Linked DNA regions of Drosophila melanogaster. The protein of the gene in region 3 purifies or fractionates together with the protein of the main gene of each other region. This does not show direct contact. Each region holds a gene or a part of one and is shown on either strand. Other genes may lie near its edges. The genes, in order: CG10265, CG7668, eIF1A and Snx3.

Region 1 (4,302 bases), on a different chromosome or scaffold from region 3:
TAAGCAGCTTTAAGTTAATGTTAAAACCCTAAACTAATAAACCCAGGTAGACTCACTAATTTAATTCAAATGGGCACATGCACTAAGTAGTTTAGCCTAAAAATACCACGAAAATGAAACTCTGAATAAAAACAAGTGTCGAAATGTAACGAATTCAATTAGATAATTAAGCCTGAAACTCTCAAAGCTAAATGTAGTGGATTATTAAAAGGAAAATGCAATGCAGTTTTGTTCGGTGCCCGAGAGTTAAGTAAGGAAATGAACTACAAGTATTTGAAATAGAAATAATATTGAAACTTGAAATGAGAATAAAATTGAATTCTAATTCAAATTTATAGGTGTTTTACTGGCGGATTAAATGTATATTAAATTATAAGTGCTTTAGTAGTGGGACGTACCAAGATTGTTAAAAAACATCTGTTTTTTAAGTCTGGGCTTGGTGACCTTTACAGAGAACTAAACTTAAGGTTCGCTGTCAATGATGCAACTGCAGCCGAAATATTGCAAATATTATAAAATTCACCAAACAAAACACAAGCGGTTCTAAAAATTTCAAAATGATGTCATTTTCACTGCATTGAATGCCAAATCTAAGGTGGCAAAATAAATATTCTGTCCCCAAATTATGTAAGCCCGAATTGGCTGCCATCGTCGTCAGCTGACCTACCTTTTAATTGGTACCGCCTCGGCAGGTGGGTGTGCACACGCGAATTTTGGATTTGGATTCGGCAGTGTTTCGAGTACTACAAAATATATATAACGCCGGGCGCAAGCACAAATATTTCCAATTACTTTCGACCGAAACGCGTGCGGCACCAAAAATCAACAAGCTGCTTCTTCTTCTTACACAGTGATGCCAACTTTTCAGCTACATAAATGGACAACATAAAAAAAGCTAGGACTGTTAACATTTTGTATGGAACATGTGATTACCGTCTTCAAAGTATTTAAACGGCATTGTTTGAGTGATATATAGTTTTAATTATTTAATATAGTTCAATACATTTATAAGCTAAATAGCCACCACTAGTGTATAGTCGATATATTAAATCGATAACGTTGTCGCATCAAAAGGTCACACTGCTTGAGCAAAAAAACCAAAATAAAACATTTAAAATTAAGCGATTTGATAATAAAGAGACTCGCTTGCTATTAAAGTTATAAACGCTATCCGGGAATTTATTAATCTCCATTTAAATTAAATAAAGTTATATTGCTAAATCCTCGCCTCCAGAGGCACATTTAATGGCACCATCCTTACACTACGGCGAATACAACTACGATTTTCTTACTTTGGTGCATCTGATGCCCTTGGATTGCAGTTTTCTCATGATGTCCAAGGTCTCTTGATTTTTGGTTGGATTTAGCTCAGTCGTGGCATTCAATTGGGTACTTGCTCGCTTCACCTCCACACCGCATGCTCTGAGTTTGTTTAGGATTTTCTGGGTGCCATCCAATGGAGGAGTTGATTTGCTTGTTATGGTAGGAACTGGTTTCTCGGGCGTCTTGGGAGGTTCTGGTACTTCAGATATCCTTGAAGAGACTGGTATAATAAGCTTCGATGCAGGAGAAAATTTCATGGGTACCAATTGAGATGTTGACTGCGTTGTCCCGGTAGCACGAGATTGCAATGACCTTACAGGATGTACAGGAGCTGGTGGTGCCTCTGGAATCCTTTCCTTTTTCTCCGTGTCCTGCAATCGCTTCAGATCTTCCAGCACAGTGGGCACCAGAATGATGGCCTTTTTCATCTTTACTGCTGGCGGTTGAGGGGAAGTCAAGCAGGCACGGGATCTGCGCTGCTGCTGGGAGGTCAGAATGGTACGTCGGGTGGTGGGAGGGCTACGCGGACGTTTCGCAGGCACCCCTTCCGGTTCCTGAGGCTCCTTGGCGAGCGGCACTACATCCTCCTTTACTATATTTTCCTTGGAATTTGTCTTTGGTATGGTCTGCACGGTGGGCTTGGGATTGGTGTACCAGCGTGGATCCTCCAGCTCTGCCTCCCAATCGATGGCCGTGTTGGTGTTCTTCTTAACCGCCTCCAGGTCGTAGATGTGAATCTGCAAGAAGTGAGTTCAATCAAAAGGATTCTCAGGAAGTTTTCAGGGCAACGCCGGATCATGGAGCTCCCTTAGCTGCCTACCTCCTGTCTGCCATTCACCAGTCTCGTTTCCCGATTGGCATCATCAAATGCCAGCGGTTCGATCGGCGTTACTATGTATTTTACTCCGGGGCAATCGGCTAGGTGGCGTTGGAACGATTGGAGCGTCATAAAGTGGCATTCGCAGCTGCGGCACAGCGTTAGAAGTCGTTTTTGGTCGTCGTATAGAACGTCGCCAAGGCGAATCGTCTTCATGGACTTTATTTTACGCGATCCATTCATTTTTTTTGTAGCCAATTCGCGCCAAGAAGAAAAATGGTATTAAAAAATTATTTCAGTTTGTTTTTGCATTCGTGCAGAGTGGCCAGACGTTGAAACGTAGTAGATGTCAACGATTTTTAGTTGGTACAAAATCTGACATAAAAATACCAAACAGTTGCTATTCATTTTGTTGCGCGCCTAAATTCAAAGCACACAAAAAACCAAATAGGAAAAACACATTACACATTAAAAAAAAAAACATTTAGATATAAGATTTGATAAGGATGACGATATATAAATGGTATAATAAAATGTTTGGAATAATTTAATATAAATATTATATAAATAATTTATGTTTATATGTAGTTTTGCTCAGATTGATAAAAAATAGATGAAAACATACTTTCACTATGTAAAATAGAACGATTTTTTTGTTTACGGTTTTTGGTCCATGAATCGAAAATTACTGGAAAGATTTTATTTGAACTGCTCCTGCTCATTTTTTGCTGCATTAATAGTAACTCTCTGCTTTCTTTTACATTGTCGAATAAGTGGACTAGCGTTTTCTTTGTTCTTTTTCCCGTGTTGGCTTTTGTTTCCTTTGATTAACGCCCATGCAATTGAAATTAAATCGCTTGCAAATGATTCGCAAGCTACCTAAAAAAAAATTGGGCAATCCAAAAAATGACATCGTTTATGCAGCCGGGGACTGCGCCATTTGTAAGCTTGCCATTTTTTCGACCAATGTGATATGGAGCCATATGGAGGGAACATTGTCTGATTTTGACTTCAACTCGAATGTCTGTCTAGTGTGTGTGGAAAACAAATGAAAAGGAAATCCAGCACTTTTTGCGTACCTACATATATATTAAATTTTTTTTTTTTGTTGTTGTAATGTTCCGCATAACGAGCACGGACCATGTCGAACCACGTGCAGCATAATCACCCGGCAGAGCGTAGGTGAGTATCGTTGGCATATTCTTGATATTTTTCAAACTGGCCCACTTTTGGTTGAATTTTCCTGCTATTCTTGCAACTTAATAAGTGAACTTTAAAGAGCCGCATCGCTTACAGCCCGGAAATTGTATGGATCTGTGGGTCGCAGCTCCAGCGGCAATTGGATGAAGTTGCCGATGCTGATGAGGCTGCTCCTGCAGTTGCTATTCCTGCATGCAATTAAGCCAGGGACGAGAGCGAGGCACAACTTGCCACTCTGTGTGTCCCAAAACTGCAAGCTGACCATGCAAATTACGTTGCCCACACTCATACTTGCACACGCTCTGCTACACACACGCATTCCTGTCGCCTCGTTTGGGGGCCTGCGGGGCTCCCCGGCATTTGAGTGATGCACCAAGTCGAGGAAGCGGAGAAGGTGGCCAGCTAGCTGGAACCCCATTGCCGCTGCCACTGCCACTACTACTACTACTACTAACTGCCACTGCCAAAGCTAAGTTAAATGGACCTGCGGTGCACTCGAGCAGCCAGGACGCAAACTACAGTGGATACCGCTTAAAGTATATAACTGTTATTATTTGTATTGTTTATTGTACTGATCCTAAATAGAAGATATTAGCTTCCCTTAAAACGCCTGACTGTGCTGTGATGCTTCTACACAAATTAGACACAATTCGAAACTAGCTTGTTGGCTGCTAACAGTTTGGATATAGCCAGGCACCACTGTACGCCGTGCATGCAGATTGAAGTGCAGACCATGTCAAGGTAGCGGCTGCAGCTTTGGCCAGTAGATTAAATTAAACGTGGCAAAGGAGACGGCGCCAGAAGAGGACGAGCTCCGTGGCTAGGTGGCTCCATGGCTCCATGGCTGCATGGCTCCGTGACTCCGAGGGCTCGCCAGCCAGCCAGCTTGCCAGGAGGAGCAACTGCAGCCATGCGATGGCAATGGCAACGGCAACGACAATGGCAACAACATTAAACGTGTT
Region 2 (5,480 bases), on a different chromosome or scaffold from region 3:
TTGGTCAACGTATTTAGCCACAAGCTCCGCATGGTTACCGTCGATTTGAGTGCTCCGGGGTTAAGTGAAGGAATTGCTCAATAGGAGGGCTCGTTGCTGGCCACTAATACTTAGTTAATAAAGAAAACGTATATATTTACAGAATACAAACATAGAGGCTTTTATGTATGCGGGCATATACACCTATCCATATTCTTAAGCACAACCACATTCTCCCAGTTCGGATTTTATCAATTTAACTTTTGGAATCATCATGGTTCTGCGTCAATTACATATTCTGCAGTGAAAGTAAACGAAAGTTGAAAAAAAAACCAAACCATATTTTGCTCTGCGGGGCTCCATGGTCTCCTATTGAAATGAAGATTATATATCATAGTATTAGCATTTTCTATATATTTTCTTTTTCCACATTAAGCATATCTTATTTTTCAAAACAAAATTATAACAAATATTTTAACGAACAATAGGCCTTGACCAAATTCTCAACATGCATTATGCCATAATAAAATCTACTCTGGAGTTATCAACAAAATATCTTCAAAAAGTGGTAAATTTAAAATTAAAAAAAAAAACTGAATTAAGTCGTCAGCTGTTTCACACAACGGAAGATATGCATATATGCGAACAATTTTTTATTTAAGTAATTACAAAATAAAAGTAAAAAAAATAAAAAAAGAAAATTAAAAACATTAGTTTTGGAGGATAGGGATTTTAAGCGAATAATGCAAGTTAAATAAATATAATACAAGAAGTGAGCTTACGATTATTTCTTAGCGTATTATAACTTGATCCCACAGTATTTCTGAATAAACTAAAAAAAAATACATTTAAATCTCTTACTTAAAATTAAATAAATATCCCTTAGCAAAATTTAAAAAAGAAAACAGTGTTCCAGTCCGCCGTTTCAAATTAGTGCGAAACAAGTGAAAAACATGAAACAACAGTAGTTGTAGGCGATATCGATTTTTGTTTTATGTAAATCGATGGCACATGCGGAATGTAAAATAAGACCAAGTTAATACAGAGGATTTCCGTAGTAATATGATTGAAATGAACAAAACTGCAATCGGCATTGCAGCGGGAGTAGCTGGAACTCTGTTTATTGGATACTGCATCTACTTCGACAAGAAGCGCCGCAGCGATCCCGAGTACAAGAAGAAAGTCCGTGAGCGTAAGAATCCCCATTGCGCCCCAACTGAATTATGAAAGAAACTCATCATTTCATCACTTCCTAGGTCGCCGTCGCAACAAGAAAACCGGCACTGCCAAGTCTGGAGTTCCCAATCTGAACGACCATGAAGCCATCGAAAGGTAGGACACTCCCATGGGAGTCGCATTATATAATGTGGCACGTGTAGTGGTGCCTGGCGATTCAATACACCTCCATTCAAACAAACAAGCCCACATATGTTTCTCCAGCCAAATCGATGTACATATTTTATGTGGAGTCCCATTACACTTGCGTGTTCATCGTGTTGCTGCTTATTGCCTCAGGCATCTAAAGACTCCACTGCCTTGGATTAACAAGCACATTTCAGTGTTTGGATTCTCAGCAGGCTTCCTGCCAAGAAATTCATAATTTGAATATACAAATAGTTATTATTGTTGCAACTGTGCACAATTTATATTATTTATATGCACCTAATTTGCCTGGCATTAATTTAATTCGTAATAGTGTGCATCGAATCAGCTGTTCCAAACTAATTAAACCATGATATTTGCAGATATTTCCTTCAAGAAATCCAGCTGGGCGAGACCCTGATCGCCCGCGGAGATTTCGAGAGTGGCGTGGAGCACTTGGCGAATGCCATCGTCGTGTGTGGCCAGCCGGCTCGTCTGCTGCAGGTGCTGCAATCCTCCCTTCCAGCTCAAGTATTCGCGATGCTGATCGTCAAGATGCAGGAGTTCGGCAATCGAGCGGCCGAGGGCAACGACGGGCCAATCGTTTTGGGGCAGAGCTCGGAGCAACAACTGGACGGAGCCAAAATTATAGAGTGTTCATCTGGAAACGCAAGTATCGACGACCTCGAATAGTACTTGGAGATGGCTACAGAAATTGAGATATAAATTTCAACAGTAGAAATTAAGGGCTTCACATATAAACATTATATTTTTTTTATATATTGATTTCTCTGGATGTTCCCAATACATACAAATAAATATGCGTAAACTGTTAACACTTAACAATTGAGCTTTGTTTTGTGCGTGGTATTTACGTTAGGCGAATATCAAAGATCAACTCTGCAGACCTAAATGTTTTGCAATATGTATGTATAACAGGGTATGTGTTAAAGTGTGTGAAAGTTTATCAACAATAAAAGATTATTAACATGTTGAATATCTTGGGAATAAATACATATATCTCCTAACCGGTTTGATAATAAAGGTATTCCAAAGTTTCTTTGGTATTTAAATATAAGTGATTATTTATAGGAAAAGCGTACTACTGCCATCTAGGCAGCTTAATCAAATGAGAAATGGTTCTTATACACTTATTTAAAGCAATAGTTTGAAAATGCAAAAGTTCCTTTTCAAAGATGATACCCAGTAATTAAATTTACGGAATACCCCCTATGCCATGTTCTAGCCGGACTGCGTAACTCCCTCAGTCCATATCTGGTAACACTTAGAGCTAAACAGCTACGTGCAATTCATCGGATTTTTTTGTATTTTGAGTTGTTACAAATATAGGCACTTGCTTTACATCTTTAAATTTATTGCACGGATTATTGCAAATTCCGTTTGGAGTGCTTTTAGGTACGATAAAACGTGGTGCTGATAAATTAATCCCCATGAAGCCGGAGGACCAGAACAACTTTTCTCAGAATTCGCGATCCTCTCCAGATTCCAGCACTGAGAACAATTCGGTGAGCAATAAGATTTTTCTCGATTCTCGTTACTTACATAGATAGAGAAGAACGTGTGAGAAATTTGAAAATTCTTTTGGTGTATTGATATAAATTCACAAGTAAAATAAAAATCAAAGACACTAAAATAATAATGTCTAATGTCTTTATTATTCTAATGTCTTTGATAAAAACTTTTCGCTTTATATGTACTTCCCCAAATTCCGATTCTAGTGTCTTTGAATAGACTCAGTCAGATCCGATAGTGATCGTAATCATGAATTCATGCACATAGTTCTCAGCGAATATTGTATACTCTTTCGTTTTTCAGAGCAGCAGTGATTCGGAAATGGAATTTGTGGGCACAAGTGCACGGGGAATGCTGAAACATAAGAAAAAAGATGAGAGGAAAATATCGGAACTCACCCGAAAGTTGGCGGAGGCTGAAATAAATCTGAAGGCCCAACAGGAGAAGGGCAGTATACTTGAAAACTGCATCAAGGATAAGGATGATTTTATTAAGACCCTGCAATTGTCGATTGACTTAGTAACGCAAACAAAAGAAATGACCATACAGAAGTTACAAACTCAAATTATGGACTTGCAAAGTGATCTCGACTTGAGTAGGATTACAATTAAGAAGAACGATGGAGGAAATTGTGCTCCAGCGCATGATAAAGTTGTGAAAGAACGAAAGGAGTTAAATATGGAAAATGGAAAATTTCGAGAGGGGAATGATCAGATTGTTGAAATCGAGAAAATTTTGAACTCAAAAGAGGCGGAAATCGCCAGACTAGAATTCAAAATTGACGAGTCGAAGCTAAAAATTGTGCAATTGGAAGGTGCAGTAAAGGCGAAGGACGAAAAGATAGTGAAAATGACAGAGATATTGTCTGAGTATAACGTTAATAATAAGGACCACGATGAATTCGTATTACTGGGCTCTTCCAAGTTGCCTTCAATTAAATTGGTGACACTACCTGATTTCGAACCCTTTGCCTCAGTTTTCGAGGATATTCCTTCTGCCGGTCGTGGTTGGATGATAATCCAGCGTAGAATCGATGGCAGTTTCGATAACGCCACTGAATCAAATATAATAACGGGCTGTGGGGATTTGGGTGGCGAGTTCTGGCTTGGCCTACAAAAATTGCATAAAATGACGACACATCGACGAATGGAACTATATATCCAGCTCGTCGATTTCGACAATGCTAGTGCTTATGCAAGATATGATAATTTTGTTATTGGCGATGAAAAACAGAAATACAAACTGCTTTCCCTTGGCGAATACTCAGGAAATGCTGGCGACGCATTTCGCAGTCATATAAACCATATTATTGTTGGAAATCCGTTTGCAATGGAATCATCGAAATGGTGGGGTACAATGAACTGGTATGTATGAACTTGTTTTTGTTTAATGATTTTGAAAAATAATTCTTTTTCAGTAACTTGAACGGAAAATATCGGAATTCCAAAGTTGAGTTGGACACGACCGATGGCATTTGGTGGGGTAATTGGAATGTTGGTAATAGATATCCCCTGAAGTCGTGCAAAATGCTAATCAGACCAATGCCGTGAGCCAAGTATAATGGCTTGTCAAATAACATTGTCACGGAAATAAAAGTTGTAAAATAATTTCTACCTGTTCATTTTCAGCCTAATTATTGTAGAATGTTAAGTTTTAGTGTCGACCAAAGAGTGGATAACAGGCTTGAAGGTCCTATAAATGCTGTATGCTGTATTTGCAAGTAAAATCTAGCTTCGCTTGGTATTTTTTTTATCGTAATAATACCGACTTTGTTATTTTACGGTCGAGGGAAATTTACATGAAAATCCCACCAGATGGCGCGTTTGATAAAATCGATTTTATCGCAGGAATGCCGTATTAAATTGCCCAAGTTTCTATAAAATATAAATATATTTTGATAAATAGTAATAATAATACATAATAGAAAAAAAAAAAATAAAACATAAAAATCTGCAGAAGGCAACAAATTGCATCTAACAGTGAAGTGGAGCATTTTCCTAGCCTCACAAAATATTTAGCAATAACAAATACATTTGTCTAAAACATGTAACAAGTCAGACATATGCATGTTCTCCGCAATAAAGCTGGGATATTTTTACCAGAGAGGGTCAAAGGACTCAATAACAGAAGGGGAAATAGGGGTGCTCCATGCTCAAGCTGGTCCGGATGAGCTCGAAGTTGCTGTTGGAGGTTGCAGCTGGAGGTTGCAAGCGCAGGACATGGCCCAACTCGTTAGGACCTCGAAACGAAAAGTCGAATCAGTTGAATTTCTGTTCTCATTGACTGCGGTTTAAGTTGCTTTAAATCGCAGTAAACGGTGTGCGTCGTCGGTAGCAATTGAATGAGAAGGGAAAGTATGTTTCAATCGAAAGTCGCGTTGTTCCGTTAATATGACTCGAGCTTAGGCGACGATACGCGAGTCGATAAATGTATCTGCGCCCATACGCATTTCCAGTGCAAGTGATGTTTATCTGTAAAATGCAGAAATATGTACGTATTCGTGTTGTGTGCCACAAATACGTCCGAGTTGACCAATAGTCCACGATAATATTGCTTTACATATAAGTGTAACAGTGAATTGGGGTTGCATAACCCCCTGTGGTGAT
Region 3 (5,556 bases):
TCTGGCGAATGGTTTGGGCTCGGTCCGCGGCAGGTTCATCGGAGATTTGCTGAACATAAAGTTTGTTGTAGTCGTCGTATTTTGATTTCGTTTATCGGACTCACCGTCAGCTCAATAGCCAGTTGGAATTTCTTTTGCTGTAGCAACTGCTGACGCTGGATAGGGATTTCCACCATTCGAATGCACCAAAGCTCGGAGGTGGCGGCGGCAAAGATGGTTCCCTTGTCGGCGTGAACCAGGAATTTCGTCTTCTGTAGCTCGGGAATGGTCTGGACCAGGGTGTCCTTGCCCACTAGGCTGCGCACCTCGATGGCGTTGTTGACACGACCCACAGCGAATGGCTCATCCCAGACTGTAATGAAGATAATGTGATTTAGAAATTGGCTTGAAGTGAATAGTGAGTATCGTACCCAGATCTAAAAGCGGACTTGACCAGAGCAGAGGAGTTAGGGAACTATTGCTGTCCATGGCAGCTGGCCGGACATCTGTTGAGTTATTGATTCCATCCGATTCTTTGTACTGACTCGGATCTACTACGACGAGGTAGCTGTCCTTAGAGATGCCCAACATGTTGTTCCGGATAAGGCAAATGCAGGGATCTCTGCTGATACTAGAGGAGGTAAGGAAGAGGTTGTGCTTCTTTGGTGCTTTTCCTGATATCTAGAATTGGATATGCAGACCTTTAAAATACGAAGTAAATCGACTTTAAAGCATTTCTCACATCGTAAACAACATATTCGTCTTTGAAGCCCACGCAGACAGCATGGCCCACCCAGCACAGTGTCCTGGGCACATCGCTGAGCTCGATGATCAATTCCAGGGAATTAAGCTTGTCCTCCTTCCAAAAGAAGAACACAAGACGCCGCCGGATAGCGCAGCACACCCGTATGACGGTGGCCACACGTCCGGTTGTGGACTTCGGCGTGTCCACGTCCATGGTGAACAGGGTGCATCCCTTCGTGTCGGGCGCACTGTGCATGAAAGCGAAGTTGCTCTCAATCCGCCGAATGTCGCACACCTGCACCTGTAAGTCGGTGAGTACGAAGAGCAGGTTCTCCGAGGCAATCACTTCCATTTGGGTGATCGGTTTCCGGCTGAAGTTCTTGTTGAACATCCGCATGTCCACGCCCGTCTCCTCGTCCACAGAGTACATGATCAGCTGTCCGCTGCGGGTGCCCAAGATGACATGGTTGCCTGAAAAAATGCGTCCGGTGAGTAATAGCTGTGCACCGAAAATTCCACTCACCATATGCCGCAATTGACTCTATCTGCACGCCCTGTTTCAGGATCGAGTGAACACTGTAGGCCTGGTGCATCTTGGCCAAGTGGAAAAACTTCGGTCTCCTCCGCCTCAATTTATTTTCGTAAAAAAGCTTATAAACAAACCAGATGGGAGTACCACTAATGATAGCTGATGATGATAGATATCGATAGCTTTAGCGGTGGTAAATCGATTTCTTCCTCTTATGGTGATAGCGAAATAACTTAAATATACAAAGTAGAAAATAAAATTTGTACATGTTATAATTTAAGATTCAATCGCTAATGACTAAAAAGTTGAGTGAAATTTTAAATTACGATACTTTAAACGAATGCTGCCAGACTCTGCATTGCTGTCGATAGCACCAGTTCGATATACTGGTTCCCCGCGAAACCGTCCACCTCTAGTCCTTTTCACTTTAGCGAGGCGAAATTGTCACATTTACATTTGACAAAATTGTAAGTTTTGAAACAACTCTGTCGCTTTATTTCGGGTTGAATGTTTTCATTGCATTACTACCCACCCAGTGAAGTCGTTGAGTAACAGTTTTACCCCGTTCCCGCTCCAGGGTCGCCAACAAGCCCGCAGACAGCAACAACATCGAAAGTAGCTGCACAGCAACAACAGCAAACAGCCAAAATGCCCAAGAATAAAGGAAAAGGAGGCAAGAATCGTCGTCGTGGTAAGAACGAGAACGAGTTCGAGAAGCGTGAGCTGATCTTCAAGGAGGACCAACAGGAGTACGCGCAGGTGACCAAGATGCTGGGCAACGGTCGTCTGGAGGCAATGTGCTTTGATGGCGTCAAACGCCTGTGTCACATTCGGGGGAAACTTCGCAAGAAGGTGAGTGCTGCTCTGACTACGCTCTTTGTTTCGCCTGTGCTCTCTTCGCTTGCGTTGAGTGGGTGCCCCTCTCTAAGGTGGCTCTCTTAAGCCATTTTGGCATTGATTGCCAGCGAATGCTACGTATTTACGTTATTGTTTTTGTTGAAATGCAGGCAGTTTTTGTGATTTTGGGGGATTTTGCATTACCCTGCTAACTTTCGACCTTTCTATACCTAATTTTCAACTCTCTTTTTCTGCAATTCTCTTTTACTGGTCCATTATTGAGTGGGTGTCATCGTCCTTGTGCGAATGCATTAACAAAAGAGCAGTGGGCGGTGTGGACGGGGCGGCTGATTAATAATACGCAAGTGCCTATGCACTGATGTATGTATGTAGATGAAAGCAAAGCAATAGCACTGCAAATACAGGGTGACCGCCGATACTTAATTCTTTCAAATAATTCGATTTGAAATGTAAAAAGGCGTAATACTTAAAATAAGTACTATTCTGTCGAGGTTATAGTCAATTTCACTTTACTGTCTACTTAAAACCATATGAAATTTAATTTTATTGATACAATATATATCATTTTAAACAATAGAAGTATGATATATCATATAAGTATATATATATATATCATAAGAAGTATGATATATATAGTCAGTTTTCACTTCAGCGATTCTGAAACTAAGCTAGTGAAAAAGTTTTGCTACGCACTTTTTTTTTCAATTTTTTCATGGTAGTACACCTTACGCAAAATTTTGCGTATATCTTTTGCATTTGAATTAGCTATTCAGTTACATGTTTTCAATTGCGAATACAGCCTCCTTTATAGCACTAATTTGGGTGGTCAAACTGCATTCCATGAAATACCATACGTCCGCAATGGTAGTTCCTCCTTATCACCTACCTGAGTTAGCCCTGGTCGTGGTCACGGTCGTCCATATAGAGATTAGATCGTTTCTTCCGAAGGGAATGAGCACATGTCAAATTTTGGATTGTGCTTCACGCCGCAGGAGACGGGCGTCATAAATAAGATTCCATCCAAATCGACTGCGTCAAGATTCGCGGCGTAATTAGTGACGTCTTCGATTTCTAGTAGGTGTCAAGTAAATATACAATACCAGAAGTGGACTCCAATCGGAGCGAACAAATCAGACATGAAGTTATAAAGGAAACTACGCAACCAAAAAGATTCCAGACTCTTGAAAATCATGTCATACGTTAATTGCCAATCATTGGCACTGTAAATGCAAGTAAACAGATCGAAATAGAAGTTCACTAGCTAGCGATATTTCTTCAATTGAAATTCCAATGAATTCTTCGGGTATTAGATCTTGAACTTTTTATCTTTATAAGCGCCATAAATTAGAACAGAACCTGTCAGATTATTGGACATTGATTAACAAAGTAAATCACCTGCTGCACCACTGCAACTATTCAATGCCATTAGTAAAAAGGATTTTCTACATTTACATGCAATTCCAAACGAAGCTGGTGAAAGAACTTCAAAGATTCATAGCACGTGCTGTGCCATAAAATGAACCTCATGCAACATCCTGACTTGGCAATTATTCTTTGACCGCACTTGGTCAAGGGGTTTGGGGCATTTATCTAATCTACTGTTAAAAGTCGTGTCCGAAAAAACGGAAACCCAATTATAATTTGCAAGCAAGTGCGACGCAGTTTTATGTTTTTTAGTTTGCGCCATGATCTCCATAAATGGATTTATAATCTCACCTAATCTTAAAGTGATATGTTACGTAATGGCCGTAAAGTAGGGGATTCGTTTGGTGCATGTGGCTGAGACGCCATTGAATTAACAACGAATTTATTCGCGCTTGCACTTCTGTGATTAGATTTTTGAACCCAAACTTATGTACACGTATGTTGGTGTTGAATACGCTTTTCATTGCAACTGAGATTTTTGCATTACTAATTTGGCAAATAAAAACTCAGCGATTATAAATAATCCTTCACACAAATAACCAAATAATTAATTTTCTTTATTTCTTATCTATTTTATTGAAAATGCCCTATAATTGATCTGATAGTACAATAACATTTGAATACCGTGTGATGGGCTTGTGGGGAGTGCTTCACAATTTCTAGGCCATCTGTCAAGTTGAATAGATATGGATAATTCCTGGAAATTGGAAGTGCGGAATTACAGCTGACCGGTAGCCAATTACTCAGTTTCTGGGGGCTCAAAGTGCAGCAGTTGGACAGACGACTCAAGGTTCAACGAGCTCTCGATCCTCAGATGTCTGGGCCCAAAAACAAGGGCAGTAATTTTCGTACACACTGTCCCAAAAAAGTCTGTCAATCATCCAGCAGTCAGCTGATGGTGGCAATTTAGCGCTTTCTACGTGCTCCCAGCTAATCTAGTCACACTGATCCCAATCTGACAGTCGTAACATGCTCCCGATGCCCCTTTAATTTGGCCAGACGTTGCTCGGGAGCATGACTAATGCGTGGAAAGGCGCCAAGTGAATTGTGCTTTCGTACCCCAACAACTCCGCCTGCTCCCCGCCCAGCAACAGAATGGGATTATATCGCGAATTCTTATCTGGCCGACCGACTGCCCGCGCCTCAGCTTATTTCACAATCTATTTCGACTGGGCCAAATTTGAAGGAGCTCTCTGGTGGCTCTATACGCACTTTTCTAATTCAATCTGCGCAATTGGATTTAAATCCAAACTAAAGATCCGGTGTGCGATCTATTTTGGTTCTTGTTTGTTGAGCTAATTTGGTTAGAAAAGCAAGATAGTTATCTTACGCAATAACTGCGGAGTAAAATAGGTCACATTTATTCTATTTTAACTCATCCTACTTGGCTAGATAAGCTAAAAATAAGAAGACAGTTGAGATCTTTGTTCTATTTAAGTATTCACAATTTTATTCATGTTTTTTTTTTGGTAGCTTAGTCTAAGTCTTAAATTACTAGAATCGTGGCAGTATATAATTCTATATTTGTTCATCTTATTTTCCTAGTGAGATTGTCTAGAGAATCTACATTTTTCTTTGGGTTTTTCAATCTTTTGTGTCTTTTTTTTTGTATATTTCGTTTTTCGATATCTTCACATTCGAGCGCTAATTTGTGGGCGAATCTGCCTAAGTTGTATAGTATCTTTCCGATGATCATTATTACATGATCTTACATAATGTGGGTGGCCGTGCTGATGACCTGGTTGATCCACTCCGTGAAGGCGGAGACGCGAACAAAGACCGAGGGCGCGTTCTTCTGGCCGCATGGCATCTTGCCCCAGGACACAATGCCGATGACAATGTTGGCCTGCTCGAAGTGCTCCTCGCAGCACTGCTGAATCAATGGTCCGCCGGAGTCGGCGGTGCAGATGCTAACGCCTCCTGTCAGCGGGCCAGTGCACAGATTGGTCTCGTGCAATGGGAGTCCGGAGCGGGCGAGAATCTGTTCGCATAACTCCATGTCCAGTATGGGCATGTTGGCC
Region 4 (5,482 bases), 5.6 Mb from region 3:
CCGAGGTTGTAAAGGATCTCGCAGGACCGTGCCGAACTCATGGTTTGCAGCGTACTCTGGCGCAAATTTCGCGCCAGCTGCTGGTCAAAGTTGAGCGCATTTTGGAAGAACTTGGCGGCGATGGCATAGTGACGCACTCTTAAGTGTATCACTCCCATATTGTTGGCAATGCACGTGCTCAGCTGGGGGGTTATAGTGCTATTAAGATAGACAATAAAATAGTATGTCTTCTTTGAACTTAAAATGAAGCAGACTCACCCCGCTTGTGTACACTCGTTATTGATTCGCATAAGCTGCTTGGCGGCCATCTGAAAATCCTTCATGATGTAGTACTGCTGAGCCTTCAGAGCAGCGTACTCCGGCGTGCCGTCTTCCTGAATAACCACCGGTTTTCGGTTAAGCACGAGCGTTATTAGCTGCAAGAGCTGCAGACTACCGCCCAGACCGGGCACAGCTCCCTCCACAGCTGCTCCTCCTGGTGAGGCCACCACTGAACTGTTCGTCGCTGCTGACGGAGGTGCTGTGCCGACAACAGCTGCCTCTTCGGCCGCATTGCTGCTAGGCGCTGTGGCCACCAGGTTAAGCTTGTACTGCAAGTAATCCAGAAAGGCCTCGGCTCGGTTTAGTTGATTGGTGGCCAGCAGCAGCTGTAGCTGTAGTGTGGCCACCAGCGCTGCCATTGCCTTCTCCAGGGCTTCCAGACGAGCCACTAGTGGTGCTAGTTTCTCCAGTGCCGTGCCGAACATATGGCGGTGATAATAGATGACCGCCCGGTTGTAACGAGCAACAGTGGCGGCGGCAGCTCCCTGCTTAAGGCTCAGCCCGCTGGACACGTCTCCGGGCGCATCTGCATCGGCGGTTAGAGCCTCCAGTTCTTTCAGCAGGACGGAGTGTTGGGTGCACCCGGTTTTGTAGTAGCTGACCACCGCCCGGTTGTGCCGCAGGACAGGACCACTGCTCTCGCCGCGCGTCTCCAACTCCTGGAGCAGTTCCAAGCAGCGATCAAACTCCGAGCTAGAATGAGGAGCAGCCGGAAAGGAGTGGCGGTTATGGGTGCACTTCCCGGTGACACGCGGATGAACACTCACTTGTTGAACTGCTCGTGCGCCTGGCACAGCAGACTGTAGTTCTCGTCCTCGCCGGCCTGCGTTTTGGTGGGGGATTCCGCCGAGTCCATGCCAAAAATAAATAAAAACAAAAAAACCGAACCAATCCACAGATGACACAGCGTTGCCAGAATCAACAAGCACAGCGTTGCCACTTTTAACCGTAACTAAAGCGGTTAACCTTATTAATAAATAAGTTAATTCTTAACATTAAACAACTTGTTAAATTTCTTGTTAATTTATTAATTAAAAATTAAATTGTTAATATGAACAAATTAAAATATATTCTATATAAAATTTTAACTTTACAATGGTCAAATTGGCATTTTGCTGTCGATAGGTGGCAGCACATCACTAGTCTAGATTTGCAGCGCGCGAAACCTATACCTTTATTTCAACTGAGACTTTTGTTTGTGATGATATATAATATTTAGAATAATAAAATATCCATTTATCGTTTACAATTTTTGATCCACCTACCCACCCAACTGTAATTATCCTTGCATTCAATCGAAGTTTCCTGTTTCATCATATTGTTATTAATCCTCGCCTGGTTTATATGATGGGAACTACATAGATTCAACATCGACCAGTTGAAGAACAAACTTCCATCCCGCAGAATTGGCTAGGAAAAAGGCTAATATTTTATACAAAACTCAACTTAATCTTCAGTTGCGCATCATTTTCAAGCACATTCAAATAATATCAGCAGTTCAATATTTTTGAATTATTTTAATTTGATTCGAAGTACAATATTATTCACTAAACTGTTTCAAAATATTCAATAATTTGCATACACTTACAAGGGATCGATTTTGGGGTCAGGATGGCTCCCTTATTTTATTTGCTGCTTCATTACCGCTGCAATGGTTCAAAACGAAGAAACTGAGGATCGGGAAAATGGGAGGGGCAGCTCCTACTTTCGAGACTCATTTAGCGAGGGCGTAGTAGGCATGTCTTATGTACACTATTCGTAAATATGTGTATTGTGTATAATATATATATATGTGTATGTATATTGTTATGTATACCATATAAACTTGAATTTAGCATTAAAAATTCCCAATGCTGGTTTTTAACTAATCCCCGGGGGCTGAGAGGGGCTCAACATTAACTGAGCAGCAGCACTTCCCGCCTCGTATCGCGTCGCATAACAGATCCCTTCTCCACCAACCTACATCATCGCTCATCTGCTCCATCCTCCTCCAATCCGGGCAAGCACACACATTCACACGGCTTCCCATAAAGATTTCGTAGCAGGTTTGTTCGTTCGAGTTTTTGCTTCATTGCATTGCTATGGTTAGGGGGTTTCGATTGCGCCGGACTAAGCTGCTTATGTGTTCCGAATCTTGCCGGGCACGTAGTTCTTATCTATGACATTCTCCTGCAGGAACATATGCAGGCAGCGCTCGTTCTGCGCCAGCGGATGTCCGGCTATCTTGTTGATGAAGGCCTCCAGTCCCTTGCGCCGCTCCTCGATGAAGCTTTCGTCAAAGATGCCCTCGTCGCCGCGGAAGGGCATCTGCCGCTTCCATGCCTTTCCTGGGAGTGGTGGCACCACAATCTGCGGGGATATGTATGTTCATGATTAAATACTCTTCAGGCGCTTATCGAAGTTTCCGTTTTCACTTATAAAACTCAGGGTTAAGTTTCCTCTTAAGGATTGAAACTTTTCTAGTGGCTTCTTATAATTACAATGTATTGTTTCGTAATTCTATCTAAATAGATTCTGAATAGTGCGGATTTTGAATCTATTAAAGTGAAAACGAAAGACTACCGCCTGGATCACACTTGTCCGTACCTTGCTATCCCGCTCCAGCTCGTTTCGCAGCCACTCAAAGTCGCTGTAGCGTCGCCTGACACTGGACTCCTTTACCTTAAAGACGGGCAGATTGGTCTAAAAAAGGAGCGATGGTTAATCATATGTGGTGGCCAATCTTATAGAGTAATTCAATGAAAGGTCGGTGCCGCATAAAGGCACCCGCATGCCGCATTTCCGTGACTCAAGCCGTGACACTGGAATCAGTGCTCTGCACTTGTGACTAATGTTTATCGGCCGGCTCGCTTTATAGGCGTATCACCCGCACTCACACACACACACACACACACACACGCACGCACACACACATGCACAGCGAGACAAAGTCGCACGAACACATGCACACAAGTGTGTGAGCGAATTCCAGCGATTATCAATGGTTTTTTCGGTGAATTTTGGAAGGTGCATAGGTGGTGCCCCCATGTACATGTACTACGATCACTCACCCGCATCCGGACCTCGTAGTCCGTGTAGCGCTTCTTGCCCGCCGCCATGGTGGTCAGCGGATTGACCACGTCGATCTCCAGGAAGTTGGCGGGCACGGCGTACGCATCGTCCAGTGTTTGCTTCTTCACGTTTAGGCGGCGGGTGGCGTCGGCGGTTCCATCGGACTCAACCATCATAGTGGTGCAATGCCAGGGGCTCCGGATCGGCAGAGCTATAGACGCCCCTTTTATCGGTTGGAAGAAACGGGTTTTGCACTGGCTATCTCTCTTTGTGCACTTCTTTGTCGCGGCTCGCTGCCTCCGATGTCCCGGATTCTGGTACTATTCAATTGCTGTCCCCGAGCACTGCTTTGTTTTACTTTCTGGGTGTCCAAGTGCCGCAGCGGGTAAACAACTTTTGTAATTTAATTAAATTTGTTCCATTAAAAAACTTTCCAATAATTAACAGAACTGTGCTGTGTGAGTTAACAGTAGGGGTGGTACAAATCAATGCTTCCAAATTTATCGATAACATACGGCGATATGGCAGCTCTCTGTGGGTGAAAAACACTGCTAACTCCAGTGTAGGTAAACAGACTTGTGAGTGCGTAGCTGCCATACCGATTTCGTCACCGGTTCATTTGATACCATATGGCAATGTGGCAGCCCTGCTGCGGTGTGGAACTCCACTAAATGGCAACACTAACAATTAGTGTTGTAAAGCGCGCGAAACGGAAAGTTCCTAACGCGTGACGGGTCATGTGACGGCACGTGACGTCACAGCAGATTCACATTCAGCAATACTTTCAGTTCCAGGGCAATTTTTCATCGTACTCGCAACGACTTCGCAGGCCAAAATTTTGCGTGTGTGTCGCTCAGTACTGTTTCGTAGCTGAAAAATTGTATGTGCTTGTAAAAGACCACGTCCGAATAGTGGCTAAAAGCTAAAATCGTATCTAATTGCAGCTCGAAATTTGCAGTGCACTTTCAAGGTAGAGGCGCAGAAAAAGTCTATCCAAGATGAACGCCCAACAAGCCCAGCGGGAACATGTCCTCGCCGTCTCCCGGGACTTTATCTCCCAGCCCCGCTTGAGTGAGTAATCCACGGAATTTGCAAATAAGTGAAATATCAAGAAATGCATTCGCAACCCAATCAAGTGACCGAAAAAAAAAACCCAATAAGAAAATGCCAAGAAAGTCCGCCATGACAGTTTGCACGAATCTGGTGTGAGGCGAAGTAGAGAAAAAATCAATAAATTCTTGCGACACCCACAAAAACACACAATTAACAACGTAACAGAATGAAACCTATAGAATAATATTTCATATAGAGCTTTAAATGTTCTACGCTGATCAGATCGTAATGGGGAGCAGCCCATAATCATGGTTAACGCTTATTGAAAATTTTCGCCGTCACATGACCGTTCGCTGCTCAGCTGTTTGCGTTTGCCATTCAAAGCTGAACGCACACACTTAAAGGCACCTGACTGCGAACGGGGTGGGTGGCATAACTGACGATTGATCGGTTCGGTCGATAGAGAGAATTTCAATGTTTTTTATGTTGGCTGTATTCATGTGTCAAATTAGTAGCCATTGTAGATAAAAATATAGTTGCATTGTTTTATGCAGCCAGTCAGTGTAGGCTTGTCTTTTAATGCAATTTATATATTTATCTTCGCTGCATATTTCAATCCCTTTTTCCTATCTAATTCCCATAAGATTCCAACTGCAGCTCGTGGCAAGGGCTAAAAACCAGTTGGACAGTCAGCTGACATAATTTAGCCTCCCAGTCAACACCCCCCTCGCGCCTACACTTTTCTTTTGACGTTTGCTTTCTTATCAGATTCCGACTTTCATGTGAGCATTGCGCGACTCGTGTTTTTGTTGGAACTTTATCTAATTGGAAGACGAAGAAAGCAATGTGCTACAAAGTAAAATTATTAAAACTTCGTTTTTATTGAAAAAAAAGTGATTAAAAGAGAAACAAATATTGAGCTGCCCTTTTAGTATATTATTTCCAATGACATCTATAAAAACAACTTAATTGTAATTTTTTTTAAAAAAAGATCCCAATTTTTATGGTCACTTCAGTGATTTAATTAATGACCTCATGGACATTGCAACAATTAAGA

The links.
Region 1: the proteins of eIF1A (region 3) and CG10265 purify together in Drosophila melanogaster (affinity purification with mass spectrometry, with the first as the bait; one large-scale study listed by BioGRID). This does not show direct contact.
Region 2: the proteins of eIF1A (region 3) and CG7668 purify together in Drosophila melanogaster (affinity purification with mass spectrometry, with the first as the bait; one large-scale study listed by BioGRID). This does not show direct contact.
Region 4: the proteins of eIF1A (region 3) and Snx3 purify together in Drosophila melanogaster (affinity purification with mass spectrometry, with the first as the bait; one large-scale study listed by BioGRID). This does not show direct contact.

What each region holds. Positions count from the first base shown.
Region 1 is NT_033778.4:14,991,369-14,995,670, forward strand, and holds CG10265 (uncharacterized protein), read right to left. Parts: upstream 2,468-4,302; 5' UTR 2,384-2,467; coding exon 2,144-2,383; intron 2,061-2,143; coding exon 1,278-2,060; 3' UTR 1,155-1,277; downstream 1-1,154.
Region 2 is NT_037436.4:20,000,126-20,005,605, forward strand, and holds CG7668 (uncharacterized protein), read left to right. Parts: upstream 1-2,610; 5' UTR 2,611-2,792; coding exon 2,793-2,867; intron 2,868-3,177; coding exon 3,178-4,238; intron 4,239-4,291; coding exon 4,292-4,424; 3' UTR 4,425-4,709; downstream 4,710-5,480. Other genes in the region: Gabat (gamma-aminobutyric acid transaminase), read right to left, coding at 1-32; Tom20 (translocase of outer membrane 20), read left to right, coding at 1,042-1,171, 1,236-1,311, 1,725-2,034.
Region 3 is NT_033777.3:18,273,038-18,278,593, forward strand, and holds the start of eIF1A (eukaryotic translation initiation factor 1A), read left to right. Parts: upstream 1-1,660; 5' UTR 1,661-1,719; intron 1,720-1,788; exon of another isoform or gene 1,789-1,829; 5' UTR 1,830-1,900; coding exon 1,901-2,104; intron 2,105-5,143; exon of another isoform or gene 5,144-5,243; coding exon of another isoform or gene 5,244-5,556. Other genes in the region: Vps39 (vacuolar protein sorting 39), read right to left, coding at 1-49, 105-352, 411-660, 722-1,194, 1,247-1,316; CG7142 (uncharacterized protein), read right to left, coding at 5,244-5,556.
Region 4 is NT_033777.3:12,626,410-12,631,891, reverse strand, and holds Snx3 (sorting nexin 3), read right to left. Parts: upstream 3,862-5,482; 5' UTR 3,549-3,861; coding exon 3,372-3,548; intron 3,004-3,371; coding exon 2,908-3,003; intron 2,671-2,907; coding exon 2,440-2,670; 3' UTR 1,397-2,439; downstream 1-1,396. Other genes in the region: Not10 (CCR4-NOT transcription complex subunit 10), read right to left, coding at 1-198, 259-1,014, 1,089-1,177; Vha55 (vacuolar H[+]-ATPase 55kD subunit), read left to right, coding at 4,371-4,443.